Linked DNA regions of Kluyveromyces lactis. The protein of the gene in region 1 interacts with the protein of each later gene in a pairwise test. Links are inferred from orthologs where the notes say so. Each region holds a gene or a part of one and is shown on either strand. Other genes may lie near its edges.

Region 1 (4,599 bases):
TATTGATCGTTCCGCCCTTGGTGCCGATGGACCTAGAAATTACAGCATCCGGTGATGTAAAGTCAAGGCTTGCCTTAAAAACGTTACATTCGGGCTTACCTCGGGATTACCTTTTTATATCTATATATTCGTTCTCAAACTTCAATACCAGTGGAAGCGTTAGCATAGGAGAAGCGACATACACCACACTATATGTGGAGGCCAGAAAATCATCTTCTAGATCCAGATGCTCCCTAGTACTGCCCCGTGCTTACCCTAAATGCACAACACTCTTTTGCTCGCAATCTCTCGTTTTCTAGCATAGTCTTTCCGCCATCTTAGCTAATAAGGTAATAGCAATCTTTGTAAGTAATAAAAGAAAGAAAAAACCGGGATGCTGCTAACCTGTCACAGGATTAGTGTGCAAACGTACTATTTCTTTGGTTGAGTCCCTAGTCTGATACGTCAGAGAGCGTACCCTTTATTTTGACGATCCCGAGCCTCTTCCTGGATGATTATATAAATGGAGCCTGTGAAGGTTCCTGTTCCCTTAATCGGCTTCTCATTTACCCCATATATAGAGTAAGTTTCTGTTTGACATATCCCATCTTATAGAAATAAAGAAGAATCATTTTCACACAGCATCACACACCATGATCCAATTAACCAGAGTTATAAAGTCTTCCCCAGTTGCTACCCAATGTTTGAGAAGAAACTTCTCAGCTTCTGTTATGGCAGGCACTACACAGAAGTCAAAGGATCCAGATCAAAGGATGTTCGATAGAAATAAGAAGAAGCTAGAAGAGTTGGAACACGATTCTAAAACCGACGATCCAAACTACAAACGTCCTAATCTAAAATCCTTGAAGCAGAAGGGTAAGGATGCCCCAATCAAACAGCATAGAGCAGATGACGGTGTCTATTAAGGCTAAACGAAATGCACCCTAGGATATTCAAAAAATACATGCGACAACTACAATCTTCAAAACGCCTACAGGTCCATGAGACCTGGCCTTATTTATGTAAGAACAAGAGCAATGACTAGATAATCATATATAATGGTACTAATATCATATATGTTTGAACAAACTGACAACAGTATGTCTTCCTCGAAGCATGTCTATGCCGTTCCGGACGTTGAAGACGTCGGACAAAATATGTGGGCATAGTCACGTGGAATCACGTGACTAACCTTTTCTTCATTTTCCCACCCATTGCAACCTCGATTTAGATCCACATAAACAATCTTGACAAATTGGATACATACTTACAAAGGGTTCAGTACTGTTAATGAGAAAGTTCCTGTCATTATAGACCAAAGGTTTGTTTCTGGTTTACTTGGTATTGTTGATACATTTGGTATTTGTGTGCTTATTCGCATCGAGAGAACTTTTTATGTTTGATTCCGATTACTGAGTGAGGCGGACTGTATTTCTATTAACAAGAGCATCAACGATAACGGATCAGATTCAGTTTTTGTGATTTCAAAAGAAACCTCGAAGGTTTTAGTTATTGAACTGGGATTTTACACTCTTTTCACCAACCACGATGCTCGAACATAACTCCAAGTTGTTTTGTAAATCACTTTCGCAGCTTTCAGCTGTAGCGTCGAAGGTTGTGGCTGAGGATGTTGAAGGTGAACATTTCAAGCAGCTCTTGGCGAAATGTATAGACACGTTGTCAATATACAAGAGCGAGCTGCGAAAACTTTCATGTGCTTCCAAGGACACACCACCATCGCAGATATATCAGTTGAATGAGACATTGTACGTTTACTATAAGATTGTGTCACAGATCGCATCTCAGGTTATTCCGGGGTTGGCCGAGTTTCAACAGATCAAGATGAATAGTAAGAAGGATTCAAAAGATAAAGAATTGCTGGAAATTTATAGTAGATTGGTTTCTGCACTAGCGAATGATAAACAGATAGGGGAAGTGAAGAGGTTTATCAAAAATCACAGTGAGGAAGCTGCTCATGACGGTACTCAACACTCTTATGAGAATGGGGAATTTGTGTCAATTTCGCAGTTGCATTCACTAATACGGCATGATAACGACTCATCTGGCATTTTACTCGTTGATATTAGACCAAGGATGGATTTTAACGATGGTCATATAAAGCATAACAACGTTATTTGCATCGAACCGATCTCGTTCAAAGAATCATACACGGATTCTGATATCTTGCGTAAGTCATTAATCACTGCATCGGATAGAGAAGTTGATCTTTTCAAGAATCGTGATAAGTTTCGACTTATTGTGCTTTACACAGACACTGATGAGCATACGAAATATTACTGGCAACAGTTAGAAGTTTTACAAGACATTCTTTGCAATAGATCATTTGATAAACCTTTACATCATACTAAGGTAATAGTTTTGCAAAATGGCGTAAACGCTTGGAAGGAGAAGTACCCCATGGAGTTGAAAAAAATAATGGAATCGGCAATATCTGATATTCGTACGAAGCCCGTGGAACACAATTTTCACCCTATGGCATTATCAAACAATAATAATATTGAAAAAGCCAATTCACCGAGTCACTCTCAAACTACAAGTTTCACACATTATCCTGATGCTCCATTCCTTACTAATGGAGCTAGTATTAAAACTGCTGGATTGGTGCCTAATCAGTTGTTGCCATCTACCAGTAATTTAACGAAAGCGTTACAGCAGAACGATGAAGGAAATTCTGAACCTTACAAACTTCAACCAAATGGAATCAAAAACCACAGACAGGAAAGTAATAATCATGCGAACGGTACAAATTGCATTGTGAGTTCAAACGGGAATAACTCTGTTGCTAAATCTGGTCATCCTAGTATCAATCTGGATTTCGCGATTGGTTTAGTGAATTTAGGAAATTCATGCTATTTGAACTGCATAATTCAATGTCTTCTCGGTTGTCATGAGCTATCATACATATTTCTGACCAATTCATATAGGAAACATGTCAATGTGAACAGTCGATTAGGTTCCAAGGGTTTATTAGCGAATTATTTTTCACAACTAGTACAGAAGATGTATCAACAGGGGAAACTACAGGCTTATAACAATACTAATATGGAGTCAACGGCTGTGCATCCAACTCAATTCAAATTGGCGTGTGGCTCGATAAATTCACTGTTTAAAGGCAAGCAGCAGCAGGACTGTCAAGAATTTTGCCAATTTCTCTTAGATGGTTTACATGAAGATTTGAACCAATGTGGTACCAATCCTCCTCTTAAGGAATTAAGTCCAGAAGCTGAGAAAATGAGAGAAACCATGCCGATGAGAATTGCTTCAGCCATCGAATGGGAGAGATATTTGACGACAGATTTCAGTGTCATCGTGGATTTGTTCCAAGGCCAATATGCATCGCAGCTCAGATGTAAAATTTGTGCACATACGTCCACAACTTATCAAGCATTCTCTGTTCTTTCAGTACCAGTTCCCAGAGCAAGATCTTGCACAATTTACGACTGTTTCAAAGAGTTTACCAAGCTAGAAACTTTGGAAAAAGACGAATTGTGGTATTGTCCTTATTGTAAACAGAGACAACCATCAACCAAACAAATCATCATCACACGTTTGCCTAATAATTTAATCATTCACTTAAAAAGATTTGATAATATGATGAATAAAAACAACGTTTTTGTCAATTATCCAAATGAACTAGACTTAACTGGCTTTTGGATCGACGATTACAATGGAGAAATGCCAAAGGATAACGGGGTTTCGTTGCCATTGCGTGGTCAAAAGCCACCCTTCAACTATAGACTCTTTGCTGTGGCGTCACATTCTGGCACGCTCTATGGTGGCCATTACACCTCCTTTGTGGACAAAGGCAGAGTTGGTTGGTGTTCTTTTGATGATGTCAGTTGGAGAAAAATTAGAAGGAAGGACGAATATATCACACCTAATGCATATGTGCTGTTTTACCGTAGAGTTAACATGTAAGTATAATAATTAATTAAGTAGGGAAATACAAAATGTAATCAGTGTTCGAAGAAACACCAGATCGGTTCCAATAACTACTCCCAATCATCATCTTCTTCGTCGTCATTTTCCTCTTGCTTGATAGCTTTTGATTCAGTTTTAGCAGAAGAAATAGTCTCCTTACCAGTGTTGGAGTCTTGTTTAGCCTTTGCAGTTTTAGAAGGAATAATTTCTTCTTCTGAATCCTCTTCCTCATCATCCCATCCTATTGCTTGTTCTTTACCTAGATCTTCCTTGGCACTTAATAAGTCACGCTTCTTTGAGGCCAAATTTAGAATCTCCGCCTTCTTAGTGAAGTAAATATTCCAAAATGTTGCATCATCAAGAGGTGCTGGGACAACGTCTTCGTGTAAGCTTTTCAAGTCCGAATCCTTGTTTAATAACTCTTGAATCTCTTCAAAATGTTCCTTTATTACAAAATCCTTCGGTAAGCTTGCTGCATTATATTTCAAATATATTGACTTGTCTATGGCAAGTTGTTTCAACTTTGTGTCTGTAATTGAGCTAAAAGCGGTATCCTTGTTAGATCCCTCTGCCTCTTTGGCATCGAAATCAAGCACTTCTTGAAACTGAGTAGATATGGTATTCGCCATGGACGACCAGAATGATTTTTTAGAAACAGTGTTCCAGTACCCTTGCGTC
Region 2 (4,581 bases), about 1.2 Mb from region 1:
TCTGGCGCAATATTTGAGTCCATTAACAAGACAATTACCTTCTACGCTCCTCCTAAATCTCAAAAACAACTCCTAGAAAGTCATGGGGTGGATCTTAACGCTCCCGTGTCGTCAAATTATAAGATTGCATTTGATGTATGGAAACCTAATCCATCTTTTAAGAAGAGTAACAGATATCTGCCTGATTTCCAAATAGTCATCCATAATAAAAACTCCAAGAAAGCGGAATTTCCAAACCTCAAAGATTTTAAGGGCATATTTCAACGATTAGATCATAAATTCCCTTTTATTAATGATGTTGATATAGCCGAAGAAAAAGTGACAAAATCAAACAAGACCGGTAATGTTGATGCTCAGAGGCATTTAAAAAGCAGACGTAAGAATAATAAAGGAGATAAAACCTTGAGCTTATATGCTCGGAAAATGAAGAGAATTAAGGAAGGTTATCGGAGTTTCCTTTTAGCGGTGATGGATGGCGGCTTGGTGAGTATAGTCAAAATCACAGAAACGGATTTTGGATCTGAAAATATATGGTATGTTCCATCACCTAAAATAGTACAGTGGAAAAAACCAAACCAGAAGAAGAGAAATTAGCATTAGCATTAAATTCAAGATATATATAACCACAAACACTATTTACTGAATTTGGAATAGAGATTTTCATCAAAGACAGATGGATTGTTATAAAAGGATGTCGGTCCATTCTGCAGCTTTTGATCGCTGACAAGCCCACTGATACCGGTAGAAAGAGGTTTCGGTGGTAATTGAGGCGGACCTGGATTCACTCCGGTGTTATTAGTGTTAGCGAGATTTGCAGGACTTTGAGTTACCGAGTCATTAACATCATTGCATAAGTTTAAATTTGCGAAACTCTTTGTAAGTGTTGTAGATTGTGTAGATTTTTGTGGTAAGTTAGGTGGCAATGTGTTGGAATCTATCAAGTTTACAGATTGTCCAGGGGTGGATGCGTGGCTTAATTCTCTAGTCATCTTGAGCAAAGTGTCGTAAAAGTTTAAACCCTTCGGCAAATCGGTACTAAATATAACGAATTGGTTAAAAGCCTTTTCAACCTTATCGAAAAAGGTCTGTCTTTCTTTCACTGTATTTTCTTGTTCAGGGGTCTTATCTTGTACTCCAATAAGTTTGAAAACTTCGTCCAACTTGATTTTTATGTCGTTAATCAAATTGTTTTGTTTGAATATTGTTGCTTCAATCCTAGTACTCAACGGTTTGAATTTAGTAAGCTCTTCCTCGAAGATAACCCTCATTTCCTTTTTCGGCTTACCTGTCAGCAATATCAACTTTTGAGTTATATCATCATTGTTCAAGCTTTCTTTGAAATCTTTTAAATTTCTTGTACGTTCTTCTTTTAGTAGTCGTAGAATCTCCTGATTGTGTTTGATATTATGAAGGCGATCTAAGATCTGTTGGTTTTTTGAGTCATCGAGATCAAGTAAGCTTGGTTCATCATTCCTTATCTGAAATTTACTCATTATGCTCCACAATAACTGATGGTTTGCTAACAAATTAACTTCCTCCAAGCATGGATTGATAGATGCAAATATTTTGTCATCAGATTGAGATGCCTGCACTAAAGAGTTCTTGATTTTCAAGGCATTTTCCCTTTGATCAGGAGAGACAGAGGATAAAATTGTAAGAATCTCATTTCTTTTGTCAAGAATATTTTGCATTTGCGCTCTTACATCTTTGAAATTACTGTCTTGCACAACTTTTGACCAAGTAGTTATTTTTTGCTTCATTATTTCATATTGAGGGTCATCTGATGAACCATTTCCACCGTGTACATATCTTGATTCAAGGTCTTTGATAAGTTTCGGTAAGTCAGTAAATTCAATGAATGATTGATATTCCCAGTCTGCTGTATCCGTCTCCTCGACCTCCTTTCTTAACAATGAAGCTTTTTCCTCAGAATAGATACTCTCATTTTCATAGACTTCCATAGGCACTATACCTTTAAAGGCACCATTACAGAGATCTACAACCTGCTCTAGGTATACCTTGAGCTGTTCTTCCCAGGTCACTGGCTTTACGGCGTCCATGGTTTTGATGCTTTCTATGCTCACATCAGCTGGTATCAAATCGTTATAAATGAAATCGTTGTCCTTAATTAAACTTTTCAACTTCTCTTCTATTACTGCTTTTAACCCTGTTAGATCAATCTCATCCTTCACATATACCTTATAGAAACCAGCCTCTTTTATTTCATGTACCGCAAGCTTACCATAAGCTATCGCCTCTCCAATTTTCTTAGCTTCCTCTAGCACTCTCAAGTGATTGTATGTCGAAATAGCCCTATACAAGTGAACCTTTAGGGTAATTATATCCTTCCATTTGTCTTCTCCATAAGGCGTAGTCCCAAAAGTTGCTGTTGAACTATCCTCATAAAATTCTTGACATTTCTCATACAAATTTAAGGCAGTATGTGCTAGTTTGCTGATCAAAGATGCTCTTTTCGAAGCATCTGGTCCATTAATCAACGTCATGAGAAACATTTCCTGAGCTTCGGCGTGCAACAATGTGGAGAGAAAAGATGTATTTTCTGCTGCACAATCGATAGAAGGTGAATTCAAAAAGTTGTTCGACATATAATCGAAGCAAGCCATTGCCTTGCTCAAATAAGGAATCGCGCTCTTATAATTATCAGACATTTTTTTCTTAGCGATTTGAGACAATAGAACACCGATGTTGTACATGACAGATGATTTCTCAAAGACTACAGTATGTTGCTTGAATTTTTTTTCTGACAACCTAGAGTGATATTCTGCTTCATACCACGTGAAATCCATCTGTAATGAACCGCTGTGTGCGCCTAACCTTAGATAGATTTGCTCCAATATAGCGGCGTACTTATAGTTCTGATCTAATAATGATTCTGGCGCAAGATCTGAATTAGCAGTGGTCCTACACGAATCAATCTCTGCCGTCTTGTCGCCATCATAAAACACGGACCACTGGCTAGATCCGTATGACCTTTTCAAATAGGTTATTAACCCTTTTGTCCAACTAATACTCTCTGTATCCTTAATTTTAAGTGGAAGTAGAACTGTTTTCATTATGAAATGATCGATTTAAAAGAAATAAAGAGTAGGTACTTGCAAACTGTCTTGCAACGCACAAATGTTAACTCTGGTGTAGTGGTTCTATCTTTGATTGCCCAAGTGCTTTATCGTTCTTGGTTAAGTAGTTTGTTTGTAGATGGCTAGGTCGATTAATGAAGGTTAGCATCAAAAGTATCAAAACGTGCAAAACGATCTTTAGGCGAAGCTTTCGAAAAATTTCGATGCACATCTGATTTTAACAACAGCAGCAGATTAAAGGAATGAAGGTTGACATAAAGATGACAGCGTTTAGTAGTATCTGAACCATTCTTCGTAGTTGATCATTGGAATCATCCAGAGTGCTCTGAGACATCCCATTCTCTTTACCATTAACACCCCCCTGTGAATTAAACAAATGTTTCAACTAAGAGGAATAAGAACCGTTGGACTTTTAGGGAAGAGAGGTCGTTTCTTTAGCACCTCTAGAAGGCTTCTAGATTCCGATGGTGTTGTTAAAAAGCCTGCCCCATTCAATCCACGTCATATGGGGGTTGCAAACCAGGTATATATCGCACCTTCCAAGAAAAATATGCCTAATCCAATAACGTCCCCAGTGGCTTATTTCAATGTCTTGGTCAGGAAGATCTATACGTTAGGTATGAACACCATTCAAGTAGCCTTATTCCGTTATCAATCAGGTCTCAAGCCAAATTTTTTACTGTGGAAGAACAAAGCTATCGAAACATATGTTCAAGTTAATGAAGCTTTTGCTAAAAGAGAACTGGATACCATCAAACCTCAAGTGTCCATATGGGTTGACGAGGCTTTGACAGCGAGAGCCAAACAAATCCCATCGAACATTACCTTGGACTGGGAATTGATTAAATTCAATGAAGTTCCAAAGTTAGTTTCCACACAAGCCATGATGATTCCCGGTCGTCCAGTTGAATTAATTCAATTGATTTATAAGTTTGATACCAAACAAAGGTTAATTAAGTTCGACAAGAAGAAAAGTAAAACTGATAAACTGGACAGAGATGTTATTGACTATATCGCTTTCCTTTGCGATGCAAGCACAAATGATATTCTATTAACTGGTTCTGTTTTTGAGAGTGCACCAGACGCGAAATTGCCAAAAGATAGCGAAACTTCGAACCAAATTGTAATCGAAAGAATGAAAGTTAACGGAGACTTGTTCAGAGTTCAACCACCTGTTAAAAAAGACTGATAAAAGTATATCTTAGTAATTAAAAGGCCTCGCTTTACGATACTACCTTGTAAATACCAATGTAAAAGATGATCATTAATGACTATATTTATTTATTTTCAGTAAATTCATAGACGTCGAAGTACACTAGGTTCATTTAACGCTATATGCAATACACTTGAGAACAATTTCGAAATTCAATTATCGGAAGAACTAGTTAACAAAGTGATGTTATAAATTTTCCATAACATTAACGTAACCTCTAGTCGATTTCTTTTTCCTTCTCGTCGACGATGCGCTGCTAACGCCTCCAGT

What was found.
Region 2: the proteins of KLLA0_E10275g (region 1) and BRO1 interact in binary tests that used the Saccharomyces cerevisiae proteins (3 or more experiments, as listed by UniProt). The link is inferred for Kluyveromyces lactis from reciprocal best matches to the Saccharomyces cerevisiae genes DOA4 and BRO1.

What each region holds. Positions count from the first base shown.
Region 1 is NC_006041.1:905,148-909,746, forward strand, and holds KLLA0_E10275g (uncharacterized protein), read left to right. Parts: upstream 1-1,527; coding exon 1,528-3,918; downstream 3,919-4,599. Other genes in the region: FMP16 (Fmp16p), read left to right, coding at 633-905; DOS2 (Dos2p), read right to left, coding at 3,993-4,599. UniProt on the Saccharomyces cerevisiae protein: Ubiquitin thioesterase that acts at the late endosome/prevacuolar compartment to recover ubiquitin from ubiquitinated membrane proteins en route to the vacuole. Also removes ubiquitin from soluble proteins targeted to proteasomes.
Region 2 is NC_006041.1:2,120,125-2,124,705, forward strand, and holds BRO1 (Bro1p), read right to left. Parts: upstream 3,075-4,581; coding exon 633-3,074; downstream 1-632. Other genes in the region: tRNA splicing endonuclease subunit SEN54, read left to right, coding at 1-594; MBA1 (Mba1p), read left to right, coding at 3,475-4,287; COPII coat assembly protein SEC16, read right to left, coding at 4,498-4,581. UniProt on the Saccharomyces cerevisiae protein: Class E VPS protein involved in concentration and sorting of cargo proteins of the multivesicular body (MVB) for incorporation into intralumenal vesicles. Fusion between endosomes and the vacuole will then target the cargo proteins to the vacuolar lumen.